6 linked regions of the Cricetulus griseus genome follow. The protein of the gene in region 6 interacts with the protein of the main gene of each other region in a biochemical or structural test. Links are inferred from orthologs where the notes say so. Each region holds a gene or a part of one and is shown on either strand. Other genes may lie near its edges.

Region 1 (4,130 bases), on a different chromosome or scaffold from region 6:
TTTTCCATATAGGAAGTAATCCCTTGGATGTCCCTTTTCACAGATAGCCCACACTTTACAGCAAGTCAGGGAATGCTCACCCCAACTCTTATACCAAATAGCCTCCCAGAATGTTCCTGGACTGGCAAGAATTTCTCAAGATCAGTCTCATTTAAACAGGGCTCTTGTATCAAATAGGTTGGATTGCTGCTAGAGCACCTTGGAAAAACAATGCTGGTCTACTAGCCTCTACAACATGTTTTAAGTAAGCTCTCTATATACCGATTTTGGAAAATCTTGAACAACAACAAAAAAAGAGAAAGATATAACAGGATATATGCTATTTAGTAAAAAAAGAAAAAAACCAAAACAGGAAGTAGAAGAACATAAGCATATTTTTAGTTTGCATACAAGAAAATGCTAGAAAGATTTAAAGACAGCGATAACGTCAAATTCAGAGAATAGAGAGTTATGGCAAATTATACACTTATTGCAAATCACAATTAAAATTTGCAATTAGAGAACTGTGTTTTAATAAATAAAAAAAGTCATAAAAGGGAAATCCAAGAGAAGGGAAATGCAAACCCAAGCAGTGCTGGTAACATTATTTTGGAAACATTGAGTTGAATATTCTAATAAATATTATCATTATTCAATAGAGAATAAGGTTTTGTGTGCAAATTCTCTAAGCTTATTAATTTTCCATAAGACAATGAAGGACAAGGTTTATACACTCAGGAGAAAAACAGTGGGCAAAGTAAACTATAACATGCTTAATTATTGGGAAATTGTGCAACCATTTAAAAAGTATTTAGGAAACAAAACCATGAATAAAGTCTTTATGATGGCTTTCCCTCTCCCTCCAAGTCTTCAAGAGGTATCATTAGGACCAAACTTTAGTAACAAGTTAAATGCCACGTGTTTTAAATGCTTAAAAACACTTACAACTCCTATTTTAAGTGAGGCATTTATTGAGTGTGATGTAAATTGTAAAACTTTTTTTTTTAATTAAATGATACAATGACTTATTCTGCCAGGTTTCTCCTCAGTTTTTAACAAAGGCTGCGTTTCGTGGCTGTTCTGGCACAAGCGAAGAAGCGTAAATCTTAGAAAGAATGCGCTCTTGGAAAGTGGTAAGAAAACCTCACGCAGCAAGCATGCATGCACGCCTGCGCACTCCTGCAAGCTTGCAAGAAGGGGGCCCCCTCCAGGGCCTCGCTGGGGGAGCGCAACCCCGCCCCCAGCCCGCCCGCGCCCTTCCCCCATCCGCCCGCCCCCTTGCCAGGCCAGCCGCGCAGGCGCAGTAGCTGTGCAGCCGCTCCTAACCCGGGGGATCCTGGGATTCGGCCTTTCCGGAAGGACGAGCTAGGTGTTCGGTCTAGGCCGCCGTTCCAGCCCTAAACCAGAGTTCCAGGTCCTGCTCCCAGCCGAGCCGGTGGCCGAGGAGACGCTACGCGGACCTCCGAGGGCGTAGCGGCGACTGGCGGAGGTGCGGAGCCCGGCGGGCGGTGGCGGCGGTGCGCAGGCCGTGACGGCCCCTCCCCCGCCCCGAGAGCAGCTGCAGAGGACGACAGCGCGGGCCCGCCGCGGTGAAGCGGTCGCTGAACTGCCTCAGGTTATGACTCACCGGCTTTACTGTCACATTTGAGGTCCGCCGGCCGCGTTGCGTGATCCTGCCGCAGGGCGGGCGTGGGTGTGCGCGGAGCGGAGCGGAGCGGGGCTGCGGCGACTGATCGCCCTTGGTTCGTTCTGCGGCCCTGAGTTTGCTCAGAGCGTTCTCTTTGTAACGTCTGCGGCCTGTGGCTCGCTGCGAACGCAGGGCTCTCACATGAAGGTGTCTCTCGGTACCGGCGGCGAGATGGGCGTCTCTGCCCACCTGCAGCCCTGCAAGGCAGGAACGACGCGGTTTTTTACCAGCAATACCCACAGCTCGGTGGTGTTGCAAGGCTTTGATCAGCTCAGACTCGAGGGCCTGCTTTGTGACGTGACTCTGGTACCTGGTGATGGCGATGAGATCTTCCCGGTTCATAGAGCCATGATGGCGTCTGCTAGCGATTATTTCAAGGCCATGTTCACAGGCGGAATGAAAGAACAAGATTTAATGTGCATTAAACTTCATGGGGTGAACAAAGTTGGCCTGAAGAAAATCATTGATTTTATTTATACCGCAAAATTGTCCCTTAACATGGACAATCTTCAGGACACCCTTGAAGCTGCCAGCTTTCTACAAATCTTACCAGTTTTGGACTTTTGTAAAGTATTTCTTATATCAGGCGTCTCTTTAGATAACTGTGTTGAGGTCGGACGGATTGCTAACACCTACAATCTTATAGAAGTGGATAAATATGTAAATAATTTCATCCTGAAGAACTTTCCTGCATTGCTGAGTACTGGGGAGTTCCTAAAACTCCCCTTTGAACGGCTTGCCTTTGTGCTTTCCAGCAATAGTCTCAAGCACTGTTCCGAACTTGAACTTTTCAAGGCAGCCTGCCGCTGGTTGAGGCTGGAAGACCCTCGGATGGACTATGCTGCAAAATTAATGAAGAATATTCGATTTCCACTGATGACACCACAGGACCTCATCAACTATGTGCAGACAGTAGATTTCATGAGAACAGACAATACCTGTGTGAATTTACTTTTGGAAGCAAGCAATTACCAAATGATGCCATATATGCAGCCAGTGATGCAGTCAGACAGAACTGCCATTCGCTCTGATTCCACTCACCTTGTTACCTTAGGAGGCGTTCTGAGGCAGCAGCTAGTGGTCAGTAAAGAATTGAGGATGTACGATGAAAGGGCACAGGAGTGGAAGTCCTTAGCCCCCATGGATGCTCCTCGATACCAGCATGGCATTGCTGTTATTGGAAATTTCCTTTATGTAGTTGGTGGTCAGAGTAATTATGATACAAAAGGAAAAACTGCTGTTGATACAGTTTTCAGATTTGACCCTCGGTATAATAAATGGATGCAGGTGGCATCATTAAATGAAAAGCGCACATTCTTTCACCTGAGTGCCCTTAAAGGACATTTGTATGCAGTTGGTGGGCGCAGTGCAGCTGGTGAACTGGCCACAGTAGAATGTTACAACCCAAGAATGAACGAATGGAGCTATGTTGCGAAAATGAGTGAACCCCACTATGGTCATGCCGGAACAGTGTATGGGGGTCTAATGTATATTTCAGGAGGAATTACTCATGACACTTTCCAAAATGAGCTCATGTGTTTTGACCCAGATACAGACAAATGGACACAGAAGGCTCCTATGACTACAGTCCGAGGCCTGCACTGCATGTGTACAGTTGGAGACAAGCTGTATGTGATTGGTGGCAACCACTTCAGAGGAACAAGTGATTATGATGATGTTCTCAGCTGCGAATATTATTCACCAACTCTTGACCAGTGGACTCCAATTGCTGCTATGCTGAGAGGTCAGAGTGATGTTGGAGTTGCTGTTTTTGAAAACAAAATCTATGTTGTTGGTGGATATTCTTGGAATAACCGTTGCATGGTAGAAATTGTCCAGAAGTACGACCCGGAAAAAGATGAGTGGCATAAAGTTTTTGATCTTCCAGAGTCACTTGGCGGCATTCGGGCTTGTACTCTCACAGTTTTTCCGCCTGAAGAAAACCCTGGGTCACCTTCAAGAGAATCGCCTCTTTCAGCACCTTCAGATCATTCTTAGATACAAGGTGTAATACCTTTTCAGTGTATTCATGGATGATCTCCCTTCCCCTTCAATTGTCTCTTATTACTCTCTACAGTTAATAGACAAAAAGGTAACTTAGGGTTTTTTGTTTTGCTTAATATGTTATTAAATGGCTACCAAGTACATTCTGAAAAAAATGTGTTTTAACACATATTTAGCTGTTTTAACAAGTGAAAGATATATGAAAAATTAGATATCTTTTGTGGTGTTACATATGTCAAATTGTAGGTGATCATAGTGAATGTGTAATTGTCTATTATGCTACAAAGTTGAAAGTTTTGATTTGACTAAAACAGTAAAATGAAGGTCCCCCTGTTATAAACTAAAATAATAAAAGATTGCCAAGGTACAGCTACCTCCCTCTTGGATAGTTTTTGACAATTTGTTAACTAGGCTATGTGATTACTCTTAGAATATATGAAGTTTCTTAGGTAGAAGTAGT
Region 2 (4,134 bases), about 69 Mb from region 6:
GCTGCCTGGGACACAAAGACTGACATGGATGAAGGACCTGGACTGTTTTTTCTTGGAGACATACTGACTCAAAGGACTGAAGTAAAGAATGGGGTGAACCCAATGGCCACCCATCAGACCCTCCCAAATTGTCAGGTATTGCCCATTGGCTACTCTTTTCAGGAGGCCAGGAACAGTCTGTGGTACCCACCCCTTATGCCGTCCTGTGGAATTCTGGGATGCTCTTCCCCCTTTTAGCCTTTACCAATACCTACTCCTTCTTACCTCTTGAAGGGCCAACAAGGCTTGGGCTTGCCAACATAGGTCCACACCTCGAGTGAATTTCCCACATATTTCTCTTACCTGTGGAGGAGCAGGGTGGGGATGAGCTGAGAATAGCAGAGTGATCAAAGAGTAGATGGTCTTTCTCCAAGTATCTCTAAGCATCCTCACTTCCACCATTATGTGCTGCCCTTGATCTAAGGGCCTGGCTCAGGGTAGGTGCGGACTCCTGGGAGCTTTAACTGGCATAGCTTATGGGTGGAGAGAAGAAAAGGCAATCTCCAGGGTATGGAGGGAAACTGGGTGAGAGGGCTCTACTACAGTAATGAGAAATCAGCAACAGAAAAACCGAGGATGTGCAGCGCCCCAGAGGGTTAGAAGCAACCTTTATCCACATCAGCAAGAAGCAGAAATCTCCCATATGTGGGAGGCTTAAAGCAAAGGTGGTCCAAGGCAGAGTGAGGGTGTCCCCAGAACTCACAACTCGGCTGAAAGGAAGCTTCCTTAGCAGGAGGTCGGTGCTCCTCTGCAGTTTCTTTATCTCCTTAAGCCACAGAAATTTCCGCCTCTTACCTGAGGAGAGTTAGGTCATAAGGGAAGTGCTGTGGAAATAAGTGGTACCTTGTGGCCCAGCTGAAGACAAACCTTGCCACTATACTCCACAGAGCAGGGATTCTCTTTTTTCTAGTTGGTGGAGTCAGCAAGAGCACACGAGTGCTTGCCACACACTGAGTGTGAAAAGACACACAGGTGCTCACCACAGGCTTACTAAGAGAGTGAGTGCAGTCTGGGCCTTTGGGTTGGAGTGTTAACTCCATGAAGCCTTTCTCAAATCCCAGTTCCTTCCTAACAGATCCTTCCTGTTGGGTCCCATGCATTTCATATCTTTCCCATTCCCACCTAGATGTTCCAAGTTCGTTATTCAGTTTTTAGGTCCTTTCTTTCTTTGTAACAGCTGGAGGGAATGAGATACTACCTAGTACGGATCTCTTATCTTGCTTGTCTTGGGCCCAGGGAAGTAAAGATAGTTGGCTAGTGCTCATTAGAGGCCAAGTTGGGACCTTAGAAGTGGCATAATTCAGTGCTAATGCTAGGAATGCGGGCTGTGAAGCCACAGCCTTTGGTAAAAATTCAAATTCTCACTAGAAAATAAAAATACCAAACTTAAAAAAAACCCTCTGCTCTAGAGATGCAGCTCTGCAGTAAAGTGCTTGATCAACATGCACAAAGCCACAGGTTCAAACCCCTGAAACACAAAGAAAAAATACATCTAACCCTAATGTTGAAGAGGAAACTTAACTGATATTAGACTATTTAAGATGAATAATATAAAAATTTACTTTTAAAAACCTAAAAGAGCCAGGTGGTGGTGGCGCACGCCTTTAGTCCCAGCACTCGGGAGGCAGAGACAGGAGGATCTCTGTGAGTTCGAGGCCAGCCTGGTCTCCAGAGTGAGTTCCTGGACAGCCAGGGCTACACAGAGAAACCCGCCTTCAAAACAAAACAAAACATAAAACAACTAAAAGCACCAGAGGCAAACATATCTAGTAGAAAACAAGAATGCCAAATGAATTAAGGCCTAGCTAGAGATGGTTCAGTGGTCAGAGTGTGTATCATTGTTAAGGAGGAGTCAAGTTTGGCTCCTAGCGCCTACATCAGGTGGCTCATACTGCCTATACTTTAGGTCCAGGGGGCACTAATGACTTGGGCACCTGTACTACGGTGCATATACATATGATTAGAAATAAAAATTGGAGCTGGAGAGATGGCTCATTGGTTAAGAGTATTTGTTGTTCTTGCAGAGGTTCTAGGTTTGGTGTGCGTGCACACGTGTACACACACATAAACACACAAATGCAGGCAAACATGAACACATGTAAATAATAATGTGCTGGTCTGAAAAAATGGCCCCACAGGCCCATAGGGAGTGGCACTAGTTGGACATGTGGCGTTGTTGGACGAGGCATGCCACTAGGGGTGGGCTTTGAGGTCTCAGAAGCTCCAGTGTGTCATCATTACTTCCTGCTGCCTCCAGATCCAGATCCAGAACTCTCAGCTTCCCCCAGCATCACGTCTGCCCCATGCCTCCAGCCCAAATGGCCGTGGACAGAACTCTCAACTGTGAGTCAAGGGAGGACAGAAGAAACGCCAGTGATTTGAACTAGGCTGGGGAGACCAAGTATGCTAGTAAAATAATAAAATGTTGGGCTTGGAAAGCTTGCTCAACAGTTAAACAGCGCTTGTCGCTCTTCCAGAAGGCCTGAGCTGTGTTCTCAGCACCCTTACCCTTAGGCCTGTGGTTTCCCGGGTTCGGAACCCTCTTCAAGCCGGCCGTCCCCAGCACCCTCAGAGCTGAGGTTCCGGCAGGCCCGCTTACCTGGACGGGAGCTGCGTCGCGAGGGTCCGGGGACCGGGCTGGAGGGGCGCCTTCTCGGGGTCCTCGGCTTGCGGCGCGGGCCCATGGTTGGCCGCGAGTGGGTCCAAGCTCCGCCGCCTCCGCTAAGCCCGACGAGAGAGCGAGGTGACTGAGCGTGTCAGAGCCGCAGGAGCTCGGCCGCCATCAGTTTGAAAAAAACCCACCCCGCCTACCGCATTTTTTAAATCCCCAATTCCGTGACTCTCAGTGGCTGGCTCTGGAACGCCACCGTGGAGCGACAGCCACAAGGACCAGTGAGAATGAGGGTCTGGCCGCAGAGTCAGCCAATGGGCACTTGGAGAAGCTAAGGAAGGCGGGGCTTTCTCACATTTTGCGTGTTGATCTTTGACTGACCCGACTAGCTTGCTCTGGTGCCCTCTGGGCAAAAGGACAACTCAGTCTGATGTAGGTGGTGAGTTTTTAGAATTCATTCCCTCAAACGTTTTACGCTTTCGTATCAACGTTGGTGTGGCTTTGAGAATGGAGAAACAGACCGCCCAAAAATGTGACACTCCACACAGCTCCCGGGAGGGACCCTCCCGAGAGCAACCAGCAAATAGGATTCAGAGGCCAGGTTAACACCGTGAACTTTTCTAGGGTCGAGGGGACAGCCAGGACGATGGGATCTGAGGACAAGGTCCAGGCAGGGCACGAGCCAGCACTGTTCCTGGACTATACTATTGAACACCATGACAGAACTGTCAGAGAAAAAAAAAAAAAACAGCTTTTCCCTTTCTCCTGGGAGTAATATGAATTCGGGTCATATCTCTGCAATTAGAATAAAGAGGATTTCAATTTCGTCATTTTGCTTTTTTGAGTTTTCTAAATGCTCTACCATGAACGTGTACTCTAATCAAGAATCTCCTTATATAATCAGTGGTTTCACAGAACCCTTCTGCAACACTGGGGTGGGTGGTGTAAAATGGTGCAGCTGCTATGGAAATGTGTCATGGCTGGAACCTGAAATGTCCTACAGAAGCTTGGTCCCAAGTGCAGCAGTGCTCAGGGGTGGGGGCTTTGGGAGATGGGGCCATAGGTGCCCTGACTTCATCTGTGGATCTTAATTCCAGCATTTGGGAGGTAGAGGCAAGAGGTTTGCTCTAAGTTCAGGGCAGCCTAGCTTAGTGAGTTCTAGGCTAGTCATCCTATGTAGTAAAATTTGTCTCAAACAAACAAAAAACCAAACAAACAAAGGCTGACATAGCTCATGTTAAAGCACTTGCCTCATATACAAGGTTCTGTGTTCAATCCTCAGTATGCTACCTACAAACACATAATTTAAACATAGAATTACTATATGATGCTGGGCGGTGGTGGCATACACCTTTAGTCCCAGCACTCAGGAGGCAGAGACAGGCGGATGTCTGTGAATTTGAGACCAGCCTGGTCTACTAGAGCTAGTTCCAGGACAGACTCCAAAGCCACAGAGAAACCCTGTCTTGAAAAACAAACAAACA
Region 3 (2,859 bases), on a different chromosome or scaffold from region 6:
TAGGTCTGCTCCTTGTTTGCCGAAGGTAAAGATTGATACTTTCATTACATAGGTTGGATTATGTTTCTTAGTCTTAATCAATTTGTAGGTTATAAAGACCAAATACACCAACAATCAACTGTTACATATATAATGGTCAGAATTTCAATTCTTTAGCTTTGCAAAGCAGATAGCAGATGTCACTTCTTCCTGTTCATTCCAAACTCTCCAAACCCAAGAATTTTGCATAATCTTCCAGGTTGGTATGTTACTGGCATGAGACATTCAACCCTTTTTAACAAAAATTTTGCTTTGTATTCATAATCCTAATATGTTAGCCAGAATGGGTATTCTGATTTGGAAAAGGAGTTCATGGGAACCTGGAATTTAAAGTGCTCTAGTCCAGTGCTCATCACCCATAGCCTACCCACTAAAATGTCACAACAGACTGATGCTTTGTAGATCACATTTACTGATGACTCAACTATAATAGTGGCCCAAATATATTTCCATTCATTGAAACTTCTTAAGTATGATCACTCTCCATTTGAGAAAGTTACTGTAATAATATAAGACCTTTTTCATTGGTCTTGAAATGTTGAACACGGTATTTTCTTTATTTTTTGTTAAAATAATTATAGAGTGATGATACTTATAAATTTACTATTTGTAAGCTACAATATGCCATAAAATATAACTAAAAGTTAATTATCTATGAGAGAGCCTTACTTTTGCATTGTTATGATCTCTTTGCCTCATGCCTATTATTTTCCTTCTCTAGGAGGCATTACCCATGACACCTTCCAAAAGGAGCTCATGTGCTTTGACCCTGATACTGACAAATGGACCCAGAAGGCACCGATGACCACTGTCCGAGGCCTACACTGCATGTGTACAGTGGGCGACAGGCTGTATGTCATTGGAGGCAACCATTTCCGGGGAACCAGTGATTATGATGATGTCCTGAGCTGTGAATACTATTCGCCTATCCATGACCAGTGGACCCCAATCGCTGCCATGTTAAGAGGGCAGAGTGATGTTGGGGTCGCTGTCTTTGAGAATAAGATCTATGTGGTTGGTGGATATTCATGGAATAATCGCTGTATGGTTGAGATAGTGCAGAAATATGATCCAGAGAAAGATGAGTGGCATAAGGTTTTCGATCTTCCTGAGTCCCTTGGTGGCATTCGCGCTTGTACACTTACAGTTTTTCCGCCTGAAAGCAGCACACCATCACCTTCTAGAGAGTCCCCTCTTTCTGCACCCTGATCATCCTTACAATTAAAATGCTATATTGCTCTCTTTGAAATGTGTCATGATTATCTTCTTTTCCTCCCTTAAGTAGTATATCTGTTAGAATTAGCCTCCAGTAATTGATACAGATATTGGAAAAATTGACATTGATGTTCCTTGTGATGTTTGTATGGCCTAGAATGTTTATAAAGTGGTAACAAACCATCCTGGAAATATATCCCATAGAAGCTGATGTTTAACAAGAAAAAAAAGTATTGTCTATAAAATGTTTCTTCAGTACTTTTTTCATGCTGTGTACTGGTTGTAAGGTATTTGTCATCTTACATTGTAAGCCAAGTTGAAGGTGGATTGTAGTAAATGTACAACTGTGTTCACTAAGCTTCAGAGTAAAGAAGTTTTCCTCTCATCTTTAACTGTAAGATATCAAAGGGAGGCAGCCTGCTCCAGCAAGAAACAATACACAAAAGGTTGCCAACTCGCATGAGATACCTCCCTCTTTTCATGAAGTATTTTTGACACATCTGTCAACCCACCTGACCGTGTGGGTGCATTGAGAACACACCAAGTTTCTTAGACACACAGGAGAAATAACTGAAATTCACAACATTAGTATGTGGGGAGGGAAGCATGAACCCTCTACTTATAAGAATTAATTTGGGGTTTTGTAGTGTGTATAAATATGCACACATACTTATATCAAACACAGATTTTTAAAAATTGAGTATTATATCAAATAAATGTGAAATTAAAAAAATTGAATCTTCTAAAAAGCAGCTTCCGTGAAAAATGGGGATTCAGTATGGACAACACCGAACACATATATGTAGAATCATACTGAATTTAGGTGGATAAGGGCTAGAAATTTTGAGCAACTAAATTTGTCATTTGACCAAATTTTATCTTTAAAAAAAATCTGTATTCTCTTCCTTCTCCTTTGCTGTTGAGGTAACTTACTTGTTCTATGTATTCTGTATACTCTTGGTTCATGAGATTATTTAGCACAAAGTGTAGCAGCTTCACCAGAGAGCTGCCTTTGCTCTATGATGTTCATGTTTTCCCTTCTTTATTCAATAAAAATCAATGTCGCTCTGCTCTGTGCTCTCCATTATTCTCTGATTTGACTTCCGTTTATTGAGGGAGCTGGGTGGTGGTGGTGCATGCCTATAATCCCAGAACTTGGGAGGCAGAGGCAGGAGGATCTCTTTGAGTTCAAGGCCAGCCCAGTCTACAGAGTTTCAGGACAGCCAGGGCTGTTACACAGAGAAACCCTGTCTTGGGAAATAAATCTTTTGAGGGGTGAGACTAAGGAGATTGAACAAGTATGTGCGACTTTTATTCAAAGAGCAAAGACTTGAGCCAGCCCTCACCTCACTGTGCAGATGTTGCTTGTTGCCTTTGAGGAATTAGTTGGTGAAAGATTCTAACTGGCTATTATGCAGCCCAGTGCCATGCTTGTGTAAACTGCAGAAGCAGTTACATGCCCCTTCCCTTTCTTTTACCTTCTCTTCCCTCTTTGCTATAACCTGCAAAGCTTGGTCCAGAAACCATGAGTAGGTGTGGTGAGGGAAATGTAAAAATGACAGACCCAGTCACAGAAAAGCTGGGTTTAGGTGAAATGTTGCTGCT
Region 4 (4,046 bases), on a different chromosome or scaffold from region 6:
TATCAATTACCTTTCTCAAACTAGATCAATGAAACCTTGGGTCTAGCACTGCTTTTTACATTCTTCCAGTTTGACCCCTTCCTGTTGTAGCTAGTTATTCTACCTTCTATGTCCTCAAAGTTCTTGTTCCCCAAAAATGCAACTGTCCCATGACTCAGTGCTTTGATATTAAGTATTTCTCCTGCTTAGTACAATTCTCTGCACCCTACAAATTTCTACTCATTCTTTAAAATTCAGCTCAAACGCCACACTTTAACTGTTAATCTTTCTATTATAATAGACTGCTTCAAACTGTAAATACATATATACATAGTATAGCAAATTACTCAAAATCTACTAAAGCTATTTAGGTGTCTACTCCTGCTTGAACTGAATTCTAGAGGTAATATCCCTTGGTCCTGGTAAAAACCTAGCATAGTAAATGTGCAAACTAAGAAAAAGGACTTTGTTAGATCTAGATGTAGAATGAGAACTTAGGTTCCCTCCTTTTGTTAGAAATCCTCATGGAATCCTGTGTACACAGTTAAGATCTTGGGCCTTATAAACAGAATGCCTGGGGCTCAAATATGAGATCCCGAGTAATGTATCTCTCTCTGTCATAATCTTATCATTCTAAAATTGGTCCACTGTCTGGCATGGAAGCACAAACCTTTAATCCCAGAACTCGGGAGGCAGAGGCAGGTGGATCTCAAGACACTTTATCTAAGTAGAGGTCCAGGACAGCCAGGGCCACAAAGGAACCCTGTCTCAAGAACAAAAACAAAACTGGCCTACTATTATGATTAAGTTGTACTTACTGGCTATTACTTCCATCTTTTTTGTAGTATTTAAAATTCTAATTCTGCCAGGTTGTGGTGGTGCTTGCCTTTAATCCCAGCATTCGGGAGGCAGAGGCAAGCAGATCTCTTTGTGTTCAAGGCCAGCCTGGTCTACAGAGTGAGTTCTGTAGTTCTGGGACAGGCTTCAAATCTACACAGAGAAACTCTGTTCTCAAAGACCAAGAAAAAAAATTCTACTGCTATATGATTTTTTTCCCAAGACAGGGTTTCTCTGTGTAGACTTGGCTGTCCTGGAGCTTAATTTAGACCAGGTGTGTGCCACTATCACTCAGCTTCTATGTGAATTTTTAAACGACCCTTCTCCAATAACCTATAAGCTTCTAGTGTGGGAACAATATATGTTTTATCCCTTACTGCATCTTTAGTACCTAGCATAGGGACTGACACTCAACTTTGTAGAAATGAACACATGGATTAATGAGGCATGTCAGAAGAATCACAGCTCTTGTGAGCAAAACATGTACTTCCACCCAGGAAGACACACACCCTGGTAGCTATCAATGATGAGGAAAATGGAGAAAGCACCAGCCACCTAGTGGATGGGAGAGGAAGAAGCCCCCATGTTGTACCGGATGTCTAACAAGTGGTGGGAAATGGGTTGGGATTTTCCTCTGGTCAGAAAAATACTCCTGTCTTTGCAGTTCACATGTGACTTGCTTGCTTTTAAATTGGCAATTTCCATAAGAAAGAGCTATTTGAGGATACTGTTCTACTTGAGCTATGACAAAGCCCAATCATTTTATTCTTAATTTATTCATTTTCAAAAGTTTGAGTATACACAAGTATTTCCTGATGTGTGAAAACTGTGTGAAATTGACATTTCAGTGTGCCCAGAAATAAATTTCATCAGTTCCAGAAATCTAAAACATTTGTTACCTAAGCGTTTGCCTACCCCATGGGCTGGATGACAGTCCCAGGTAAGACTGGGCAGTAGGGTGGATTCAGACCACAGACCCCTCTCTTCCTCCTCTAAATAGGGATATACCTCCCCAACTCTCTCCTTGGACAGAGACATGACAAGAAAGAGAGAGTGATGTGCTGTGGCCTTGCAATTCTGTCCCTCCTCTGTAAAGCTGCAGGACAACTTTATATTCATTCCTAGCTCCTGTGTCCTTGCTTATTAGCACATAGGCTAGCATAACTCACCTCTCTCTCTCTCTCTCTCTCTCTCTCTCTCTCTCTCTCTCTCTCTCTCTCTCTCTCTCTCTCTGTCCTACTAACGCTCATCTGAGGGGTAATTCATGCCAGCTTCCTTTCTACGGGCCTGTCATTCTTCCACAAGTTACGACAAGCGGCAATTCCCCACGAGTGGTTATGCTAGTCCTCATTAAGATCGAGTCCCTACAAAAGCTTTTAAGATAAGCACTAGTCGGCTACCAGGAAAAACCGCTAGCGGCTCTTACCAAAGTAGTCAAGCCAATTCATCTCGCGCAGCGCCTTGGGGAGCCGAAGGATCTCGATGTTGTATAGGTTCTCCACCTCCTTGAGGAGGTTCTGTCTGTCGGACTCGATTTGATTGATTCGAATTTGCACTGCGGAGAGATCAAAGCCGACGGATCCAGTGTCAACAAGAGGGCGAAGCCATCGCACCCGCGCCCCAACCCGCCCGAAATTCTCGAAGGCCGCGGATCCGCCCCTTACCCTCGCGGTCGAAGTCCTTAAGGAAGGAGGCGAGCTTGCGGCTCCGCAGCGCGTTAGCTCTGGCGCCCCGGCTGCTGCCCTTCTTGGGAGCCATGGCGCCGGGGTGAAGGCTGCGTCGAACGAAGGACCGAGCAGCCGGCTCAGCGGCTGAGACGGGGAAAGAGGACGTGAGCGCTCACGGAGCAGCGGGGGTTCAGTCGTTGGAGTCTGGTACCCAGAAGTCTGCGGACGTGTCCCTGCAGGCGCCGAAACACAGACCCAGGAAACCTCGCAGCTCCAGCTGAGGGAGAGGTTGCGCCTCCGCTAACCGCCACCCAATTCAAACTCAACGGATACAGGTTGGCCAATAACAAGTCGCCGTCTTGGGACGGTTCTCTCACCGCCCAATCACAACAAAGCTTCTTCATCCCGCAACCAATCTCTATAGAGGACTTCAATGCCCAGAGGACATTGCGGCCTACGCTTTCTTTTCGCGACTCCAGAGTCGCGCTAAGTGGAACTAGACTGTAGGGTTTGCTTTTGAGCATGTGCAGAGAGTGCCAAGCGCAGTGTGGTTCTTGGTGTCCACTTAGCTTTGGCTACCCAGGATTTGAGTTTTCCTGCGGATTTAGGGACACGGCTGGCAGTCTCAGAGGAGATAAGACCCTGGCTCCAGAAGCAGGAGTTCGAGGAGAGACAGGCCCCAGGGACTCGCAGTCTAAAGCGGAAGGTTGCCCTGTCCTTTGGAAGCCTCTTTTGAAGACTTCTAGGACCCCCTTCCTGAGGTGAGAAGCAAGGGTCCTTCTGCAGAGAGAGCTGGTAAGAGGATCGCCAGAGCCTCCACTCTTGAAAGTCAGCGGTGACAAGACAGAGCCACAGCTTCACCCTGCCACCCTCAGCAGCGTGAGGCGTTCCCCTAAGCTTTTAGAGACTGCAGCCCAGTTGGTGGCTTTGAAGCTGCAAAGAATTCAGGGCTAGCCAGTTTAAGAAGCAGAGTTATGGGTGGGAGGGGGAGCTGTGGTTGGAATGTAAAATGAAATTAAAAAGTTAAAAACATGGAAAAAAGCAAAATCACACACACACACACACACACACACACACACACACACACGAGAGTAGGAATGTAACACTGTCTGGCCTGGAACTCTCTATGTAGACCAGGTTGCCTCTATCTCAGAGACCTGTCTGTCTCTTGACTCCTCAGTGCTGGAATAAAGGTGTATGCTACCACGCCCAGCCTAAAGTTACTATTAATTTTTTGTTTGTATTTTGAGACAAGGTTTCTCTGTATTGTTTTGGAGCCTGTCCTGGAACTCGCTCTGGAGACCAGACTGGCCTCGAACTCACAGAGATCGGCCTGCCTCTGTACCCTGAGTGCTGGGATTAAAGGCGTGTGCCACCAACGCCCTGCTTTTTTTTAAAAGTTATTTTTAATACAGGCTTAAGGACGAGGCTTAAGAGAGAGGCACCTAGACAGAAAATAAAAGACACTTGCAGGCTACTCAAAAAATTAAGTATGAAATAGCGAAGTGGGTGTGGGCTTCTCAGGGAGAGGCTGCAATTGATTGTCTTAACATTAACCATGTA
Region 5 (3,551 bases), on a different chromosome or scaffold from region 6:
CTTAACCAGGGGACTACAGAAATGACTCATCAGTTAAGAGCATAGGCTGCTCTTCCAGAGGACTCAGATTGGATTCTTGGCACTCACATGGCAGCTCAGAATTGTCTGTAATTCTAGTTCCAGGGGAATCTAATTCCCTCTTCTGGCTTCTGAGGGCACTGCATGCACATGGCGCTCATACATACACCCAGGCCAAATATTCGTGCACATAGCATAAATCTAAAAGGTATTTGAAGAAATTTACATCAGTGTACTTTTGATTTTTCTAGACAGGGTTTCTCTGTGTAAACCTGATTGTCCTGGAACTCTCTATAGACCAAACTGTCCTGGAACTCAGAGATCCACCTGCCTTTCCTGGATTACAGTCTGTGCCATCACACCCAGCCCATAGCTGAAATCTCTTCATTGCTTACTTTCTCTTGTCTTTGAGTAAAAGAAAAGGAAGTACTTAACAGTTGGTGGCATCAGCTGAGTGTTGGTGGCTCACGCCTTTGATCCCAGTACTGGGAGGCAGAGGTAAGGGGATCTCTGTGAATTGAAGGCCAGCCTGGTCTACAGAGCAAGTTCCAGGCCAGGCTCCAAAGCAATACAGAGAAGCCCTGTCTCAAAAAAAAAAAAAAAAAAAAAAAGTTGGTGGCATCATTACTTGCTCATGAAAAAGTGTTGTTTGTATAAATCAGTAGCATCGTGAAGGTAAGAAAAGTGATCAAGACTCTTGTTTTTGTTTTGAGACAGGATAGGATCTCTTGCAGCCAAGGATAGCCTCAAACTTACTATGTAGTTTAAGATAACCTTGAAACTCTAGTCCTGCTCCTATCTCCAGAGTGCTGGGATAACCGACATGAACCATCATGTATAGTGTATGAATTGGTAGGGACCAAAACCAAGGCCTCACATGCGCTAGGTATGCATTCTACTAACTGGGCCATACTCCATCCCTACAAGACTTTTAAAAAATTTTATTATTATTATTTAAACTGTGTATGGGTTGGGGTATGTATACATGAGTTCAGGTACCTCTGGAGGCCAGAGATGTCAGATTCCCCTGTTGTGTGCCACTTGGTTTGGGGGTACTGGGAAGTGAACTCAGGCCCTCTGAAAGATGTTTCATGTTCTTACCTGCTAAGCTATCTCTCAGCCCCTGTGGTGGTTTGAAAGAAAATGACCCTTAAAGTGAGTGGCACTATTAGGAGGTATGGCCTTGTTGGAGGAAGTATGTTACTGTGGAGGCAGGCTTTGAGGTCTCATATACGCTCAAGCCACACCCAGTGATACAGACCACTTCCTGCTGTCTATATATCAAGATGTAGCCAGCACCATGTCTGCTTGCACGCCACCAAGCTCCCTGCCATGATGTTAATGGACTGAACCTCTGAAGCTGTAAGCTACCACATCAGTTAAATGGTTTCCTTTATAAGAGTTGCTGTGGTCATGGTGTCTCTTCACAGCAATAATAGAAACCTTCACTGAGACAGCCCCCAAGACTGTTTTAATGTGTACTTTGAGAATATAAATTCAAAACCTGATATAATATCTTTGTGTTTAACGGCAGCTCTCTCTCTTGGTCTCAGTGATGTAAGAAATAAAGACCCTTTTTTCCAGGGAATGTTGGCAGATTTTGTGTCCCAGACTTCTCCAATGATTCCTGCTATTGTTGTCAGCTGTGTGAATGAGATAGAGCAGCGAGGCCTGACTGAGGTGAGAGTGGACTCCACACAGGGTGAGCTTGTTGTTTGTGTTAGTAATTTGGGAGTTCCTGACTAAGTGTTGTCTTTATAATAGGCAGGCTTATACAGGATCTCAGGCTGTGACCGAACAGTAAAAGAGCTGAAAGAGAGATTCCTCAAAGTGAAAACTGTACCCCTCCTCAGCAGAGTGGATGACATCCATGCCATCTGTAGCCTCCTGAAAGACTTTCTTCGGAACCTCAAAGAACCCCTTCTGACCTTTTGGCTAAGCAAAGCCTTTATGGAGGCCGCAGGTAAGGGCAGAGCTTGGTGCTTGACTGTGATTCCAGGACTGAATTTTGCTCATACATTTTACTATCCCTGCTGCCCAGTACAGTGCCTGGGCAGTAGGTACTCATATAATTGGTGGGTGAATAACTACTATATACGTCATCCTGCCTTTTTCTTCTTTAGCTATATAGAGGGTCTAAGAGATGGCTAAGTGGCTGAGCACTGGCTGCTCTTCTAGAGAACCTGGGTTTGATTCCCAGCGTCTGCATGATGGTTGGGTGGTGCCACCTGAAACTCCAGTCCAGGAAATCTGATGTCCTCTTCTGGCCTCTTTGGGTACTACATGCAATGTAGCTCAGACATTAAAAAAAAAATGTTTCATAATAAAAAAAATGTACGTAAAATGAATAGGATTTTATAGGGTTTGTTGTTGCTGTTTGCTTTTTGGTCAAGTCTTATGTTGTCCTTTTGAGATCAGAACCATCTTTGATTCCTTTCTTTTCCACCACAAATCTTGTCAGTAGACTTGTAAATACACCTTAAATTTGATATTTATCACAAGTCATGGTATTAACTGTCCCTGTCTACTAATTGTAGAGCTGGCATGTCCCTTTCACATGGTAATCTCTATGCAGGAGTTGGAGTAGTCCTTTTACACTCCAAATTCATGATGTCCTTTTTGTCATCTATCCATTATTTTTAGTTTATGTTATCATAGTGTTTTTGAGACAGTGTTTCTCTGTGTAGCCCTGTCTGTCCTGGAATGCACTCTGTAGATCAGGCTGGCCTCCCGAGTGCTGGGATTACAGGCGTGTGTCACCACCGCCCGGCTTTCCCATCAGTTTTAGACTGAATTCATCCCTAACATGGTTGAAAAGACCCTGTGTGACTTGGCGCTTGGTTATGCCTCCAACGCCATTTTGCTTTGTACCTTCCTTCCTCTTTTTGAATCCTGGAGTCAGTTTCTTTTTATTTTGTTGTGTGTGTGTGTGTGTGTGTGTGTGTGTGTGTGTGTGTGTGTGTGTGTTTTTGCCTGCATATATGTCTGTACCACATGCACATAGTGCATACATAGGCCTGAAGAGGGTGTCGGATCCCCTGGAACTGGAGTGGCAAAACAATTGTAAGTCACTGTGTGGGACTTGGGAATTGAACCCTGGTCCTCTGCAAGAGCAGCCAGTGCTCAGCCACTGAGCCATCTCTCTGGCCCTAAGTCTTGGATTTCTTAGCATATAATCACCTCAAGTCCTTCCTACTTGTTAGTCTTAGCACCAACTTTTTCTCCCTAGATCTGTTTGTAGTTTGCTTTACTCCCACCACCCCCAGCTTCTCTTCATATATTTTGTCCTCAGAAACACTTTTCCTAAACCAGGTTTGCTGACATAGTAATCCCAGCATGTGGGAGGTGAGGCGATATTGATACCAGCTTTGGCTGCATGGTGAGCTTGAGACTAGACTAGGCTACCTGAGAACCAGTTTCAAAGACTAAACAAAAGCTGCCCTGGGCTGGCGAGATGTCTTGGAGGTTAAGAGCACTGACTGCTCTTCCAGAGGTCCTGAGAGGTGGCAGCTTCCATTGCTTTCTAGTATCCT
Region 6 (4,318 bases):
CCCCCCTCGGGGCATATTCCAGTATCAAGTAGATCCTACGCCGGTCATAGAAGTAGTTGTAGAGCCGAAGAATGTTGGGATGTCTGGGGCAAAGAGAAAGGAAGCTTCGGCTTGCATCTAGGAGACAGGACAGATGGCAAAGACCTAGATCAGGGTGGAAGTATAAGGAAGAGCTGGGTAGGTGGTCCAGATGGTGTAAGACAGGGCTGGGGATGCAGAAATAGGAATGTGGGGTGATGAGGTTGGCAGAGGGGCCAGGGCCAGGGGTGAGTAGCATACTGCAGGTGTGCCTGGATTTCGATCTCTCGGCGCAGCTGGTGCTCCACTCCCTCCTTCTCAATCTGAGACTTGAAGAGGATCTTGAGTGCCACGATGAAATGACTTTTTTTCTCCCGAGCCAAGTACACATTTCCAAATTTGCCTTTGCCCAGAGGACGCCCAATCTCAAAGTCGTCAATAGTGAGGGACCGCCTGATTAATAAAGTGGGGGGAAGGCAGCTAGCTCAGGGCTGGCTGGCTCAGATTCTAAGGTGTTTGATTTCTCTCTATCTGTGTTCCCTTTAATTTCCCCATTTCAGCCTCACCACAGTTTAAGTTCCCCGACTTACTCTGGGGTACTTACAAGGCATTGGAGCCCCGACTGACATTTTCAGCCAACTTCTGGCCAGGGGCAGCTAAGGAGAGAGCAGGCATGTTGAGTTCCTCTTTGACATTCTCGCCTTATACCCTCTCTTGGATTCTGGTCCCCTTGGGCCAGTCCTCTCCCCATTGTCCCAGGTACCTGTGGACTGGCCATTGGACCGGTTCATGAGGGCAAGTGCAGATGTCACAGCAGACTCCTTCTGCAGGACTCTCTGGGGCAGGGTGTTCAGGCCTGAATGAGACTGAGGAAAAAAGGGAAGCTCTGAGTGTGTTCTTGTCCCTGTGGTCTAGCTGGAATGTGCTATAAGCACCGTTTCAGCTACTTGTTAAAGAGTCCATCCATCCACTCACAGTTCAAACAATAGTGATACACCATGGTTTGACTACCTAGCCCCAGAGGTCTGCTCATTGCTCCAGAAGAAATGGGTTATTAAGAAACAACCTGAGGCTGGGCGTTGGTGGCGCATGCCTTTAATCCCAGCACTCAGGAGGCAGAGGCAGGCGGATCGCTGTGAGTTCAAGGCCAGCCTGAACTCCAGAGCGAGTGCCAGGATAGGCTCCAAAGCTACACAGAGAAACCCTGTCTCCTGGCACACATCAGTAACCCCAGCACTTAGGAGGTGGAGGCCCTTGATCAGGAGTTCAAGACAATCCTCAACAGTCAGTTCAAGGCCAGTGTGAGCTAAATAAGGCCTTGTTTTAACATCACCCTCATCCTCCCCACAAAACATCAACAAACAAACAAAGTAAAGGAATGAATGAAGAAAGCAATCGAAGACAAGGGAGAAGATGCCCTCTGACACCTAACAATTCACCTGGCCCTGGCCCACACCACCTGCTCAAGCACAGCACCGTCCAATCTGGATAGCTCTACACCACATTCATCCAGGCTCACATAAGAGCTCGAGCTCATGAAGTTGCCACACCAGAGGGATGCTGAGGGATATTCAAGGCCTCAAGCCACTTCTTCACTTTCAGACTTCGCTGAGTAATAGATCATTCCATTTGATAGTGACCACGGTGAGTGTAACAGTGGTGTCACACTCAGACTCCACTCTTCTCGGTTTTACTCGGTGCTTCATGCGGGAAGAATCTGGGACAAGGAAGCAGATGGGCTGTCCAGGATGCCCAGGTCCCACCAACGGGGACAGACTGAAGAGCTCTTCATTTTGGTGTAGGGCTCAGGGTCCCATTAGCTTGCCAAGCTCATTACAGATGTGCTGTATTACAGGTTTCTCATTTCTTCAGCCAAGAGAAGGCCCCAGGGTGCCTACAAACCTCCCCCAGTGATATCAGTATAGATTGGCCCATGCGTTCACACACACACACACACACACACACACACAATTTCAAATCTATTTGGATCCTTAGCTACAACCACTCATTAATATAAATTCTGGGGCTGAAGCGTAGCTCAATGGTACATCAAAACTGGAGGTCCTGGGTTTGCTATCCAGCCTCACAAATAAAATTTAGACCTTCCTGGACCTGTTAAACAGTAACTTTGTATTCTACAGTCTAATTTCTGTGTAGTTCATTTTCTCAGACTAAAGGGTGGGATTCACCGCCCGAAAGCACAATACTGCTGCTTGCTCAGTCCCAGTTATTATTTGCATGTGACAAGCAGACTCAGCTCTGCAGAAGCCCTCAGATTCAGGTTGACAACATCTGGATAGGATACGGCTGCAAGTGATCAGACTGGGCTCTGCATGCAAACTCTTGGGGAACACGTCGGAAGCGCTTAGAGGACAGCCATCGGCAGGGTGCTCCATCTGCCTCCGAGGACTTGCCTTCCGAGGGAGGTGGGGCGAGGAATGTGGCCGGGACCTTACCTTCTGCGAGCCGTAGGGCCACGGGTAGGTGTTCTCCTTCTGGGCCATCTCAAGGAAAAGCCGGAGGAGAGCTGGGCAGAGAGGGAAGCAGCGGTGAGAGGGAGAAGATGCAGAGATCTGCGGGGAGCGCAAGCGGGGGCGGGCGGAAGGAAACCAGCGCGCAGGCCGAGGTCGGGGCGCACCTGTGCGCCCCTCTCCGCACCCCTCCCTCTAGGCGGCCGGGCTGGCACGTGGCCCGCCCAACGGAGCCGGACGCCGTGGACCACCCGCGCCCTCCGGAGCCCACGGCGCAGCGGCTCTCCTCTCAGCTCGGCGCCCGCACGTTGGAGAAGCCGCCTGCCCTGCGGCTCCGCGACTCCGACACTTTCAAATCTCCCGCTCTGAGCCCATTGGCTGAGCCGCCACCCAAGCCCGCTTTCATTGGCTACGTTTCTTGTGACGTAACTGGTTGAGACGCAAAACAAGAAGCGGATTGAGATGCTCCTTTCTCTAGGCTGAGGCTGCTTTCCCAAGATATCACACTTTTGTATAATAATAATATTAATAATAATAATAATAATAATAATAATAATAATAATAATAATAAATAATATAAACAATAACAAAAATTTAAACTGGGCAGTGGTGGCGCACACCTTTAATCCCAGCACTCAGGAGGCAGAGGCAGGTGGATCCCTGAGTGCGGCGAGGCCAGCCTGGTCTACACAGCGAGTTCTTGAACCATCAGGGCTACACAGACAAAAACCCTGTCATGGGGAGGGAGCGGAGTAGAGGAGGATTTAGACAGGGCGTAGAACCCTGTCTCAAAAACAACACACTAAGATTAATTGTTACCTATCTCTTCTCCCCTCTCTCCCTCTCCCTCTCTGTGTATGGGCGTGTGTAAAACTTTTTTTCTGCCAGATGGAGAGACAATTATGCCCACGCCTTTGGTTAAACTGTTTTACCTGGAGAGGCAGAGACTCGTAGATGTCTGTGAGTTCGAGGCCAGCCTGGTTTCAGGACAGCCAGGACTATTACAGAGAAAGCCTGTCTCGGAAAAAAATGAACAAACAGCAAAAACTATCTATTTCGCAGGAGAATTTAAATGCTGCCCTTAATGATTGTACAATCCTCTTTAAGTATCCTTGGGGTATCATCTTTAGAACGCCCTACGTTACCTAATCCAGAGTGCTCAGGTTCCTTATATAAACAGGCATACTATTGTATAGGACATAGATTTGCATTGAGTTTGTAACTCTCTCAGGCTCTTTGGCTAATCTCTAGATCACCTAGCTACCTAATATTATGGAAATACTGTGAAACAGTAGTAAAGCTCTCTGTGAGGGAGTATGATGCAGGGAGGAAAAGTCAATACAGATGTAATCCATTAGATGAGACAGATGGATTTGAAGGTTTGACAGACAGACAGACAAGCAATTTGCTGAATCCATGGTTGTAGAATATGTATCTGTGTTTCTGGATTCCCTATTCTCCTTGTCTGATTAGTATTTGGATTTTATTTGAGACAGGTCTCTCTGTTAAGCTCAGGTTGGCCTCCAATTCACTATATAGCCCAGGCTTGCCTTGAAATTCTGATCCTCTCATCACAGCTCCCAAAGTACTTGGATTACAAGCACACAGTATCAGGCCCAGCTTGCTTATCCCTTTTCTATTTCTTCTTAAATGTCCTTTGAGTTCCTAGAAAGAGGTTTCCAGTGGTGGAACTTTCTGTGCTGGGTCCCTGATAGCTGTGGGATTTGAACACAGTTCAAATCAAAATCCACTCTTCTGTAAATGCTTTGTTCTTAAAAATCCTTTAATGTTTCTTATTCTAACATTAGGCTTGTAATTCTACCACTCTG

What was found.
Region 1: the proteins of Aurkb (region 6) and Klhl9 form a complex in vitro, tested with the Homo sapiens proteins (2 studies listed by BioGRID and IntAct, with this or other methods). The link is inferred for Cricetulus griseus from reciprocal best matches to the Homo sapiens genes AURKB and KLHL9.
Region 2: of the proteins of Aurkb (region 6) and Cenpa, one has a biochemical effect on the other in vitro, tested with the Homo sapiens proteins (3 studies listed by BioGRID). The link is inferred for Cricetulus griseus from reciprocal best matches to the Homo sapiens genes AURKB and CENPA.
Region 3: of the proteins of Aurkb (region 6) and Klhl13, one has a biochemical effect on the other in vitro, tested with the Homo sapiens proteins (2 studies listed by BioGRID and IntAct, with this or other methods). The link is inferred for Cricetulus griseus from reciprocal best matches to the Homo sapiens genes AURKB and KLHL13.
Region 4: the proteins of Aurkb (region 6) and Cdca8 form a complex in vitro, tested with the Homo sapiens proteins (3 studies listed by BioGRID, with this or other methods). The link is inferred for Cricetulus griseus from reciprocal best matches to the Homo sapiens genes AURKB and CDCA8.
Region 5: of the proteins of Aurkb (region 6) and Racgap1, one has a biochemical effect on the other in vitro, tested with the Homo sapiens proteins (2 studies listed by BioGRID and IntAct). The link is inferred for Cricetulus griseus from reciprocal best matches to the Homo sapiens genes AURKB and RACGAP1.

What each region holds. Positions count from the first base shown.
Region 1 is NC_048595.1:59,402,307-59,406,436, reverse strand, and holds the start of Klhl9 (kelch-like protein 9), read left to right. Parts: upstream 1-1,284; 5' UTR 1,285-1,807; coding exon 1,808-3,664; 3' UTR 3,665-4,130.
Region 2 is NC_048600.1:13,682,816-13,686,949, forward strand, and holds the start of Cenpa (histone H3-like centromeric protein A), read right to left. Parts: upstream 2,815-4,134; 5' UTR 2,724-2,814; coding exon 2,639-2,723; intron 835-2,638; coding exon 743-834; intron 343-742; coding exon 265-342; intron 6-264; coding exon 1-5. UniProt on the Homo sapiens protein: Histone H3-like nucleosomal protein that is specifically found in centromeric nucleosomes. Replaces conventional H3 in the nucleosome core of centromeric chromatin that serves as an assembly site for the inner kinetochore.
Region 3 is NC_048604.1:31,135,895-31,138,753, forward strand, and holds the end of Klhl13 (kelch-like protein 13), read left to right. Parts: intron 1-760; coding exon 761-1,248; 3' UTR 1,249-2,314; downstream 2,315-2,859. UniProt on the Homo sapiens protein: Substrate-specific adapter of a BCR (BTB-CUL3-RBX1) E3 ubiquitin-protein ligase complex required for mitotic progression and cytokinesis.
Region 4 is NC_048595.1:28,118,738-28,122,783, reverse strand, and holds the start of Cdca8 (borealin), read right to left. Parts: upstream 2,802-4,046; 5' UTR 2,575-2,801; coding exon 2,481-2,574; intron 2,372-2,480; coding exon 2,243-2,371; intron 1-2,242.
Region 5 is NC_048595.1:396,064,379-396,067,929, reverse strand, and holds part of Racgap1 (rac GTPase-activating protein 1), read left to right. Parts: intron 1-1,602; coding exon 1,603-1,698; intron 1,699-1,782; coding exon 1,783-1,981; intron 1,982-3,551.
Region 6 is NC_048600.1:82,920,702-82,925,019, reverse strand, and holds the start of Aurkb (aurora kinase B), read right to left. Parts: upstream 2,836-4,318; 5' UTR 2,523-2,835; coding exon 2,475-2,522; intron 1,736-2,474; exon of another isoform or gene 1,458-1,735; intron 885-1,457; coding exon 782-884; intron 675-781; coding exon 623-674; intron 472-622; coding exon 280-471; intron 118-279; coding exon of another isoform or gene 84-117; coding exon 1-83. UniProt on the Homo sapiens protein: Serine/threonine-protein kinase component of the chromosomal passenger complex (CPC), a complex that acts as a key regulator of mitosis.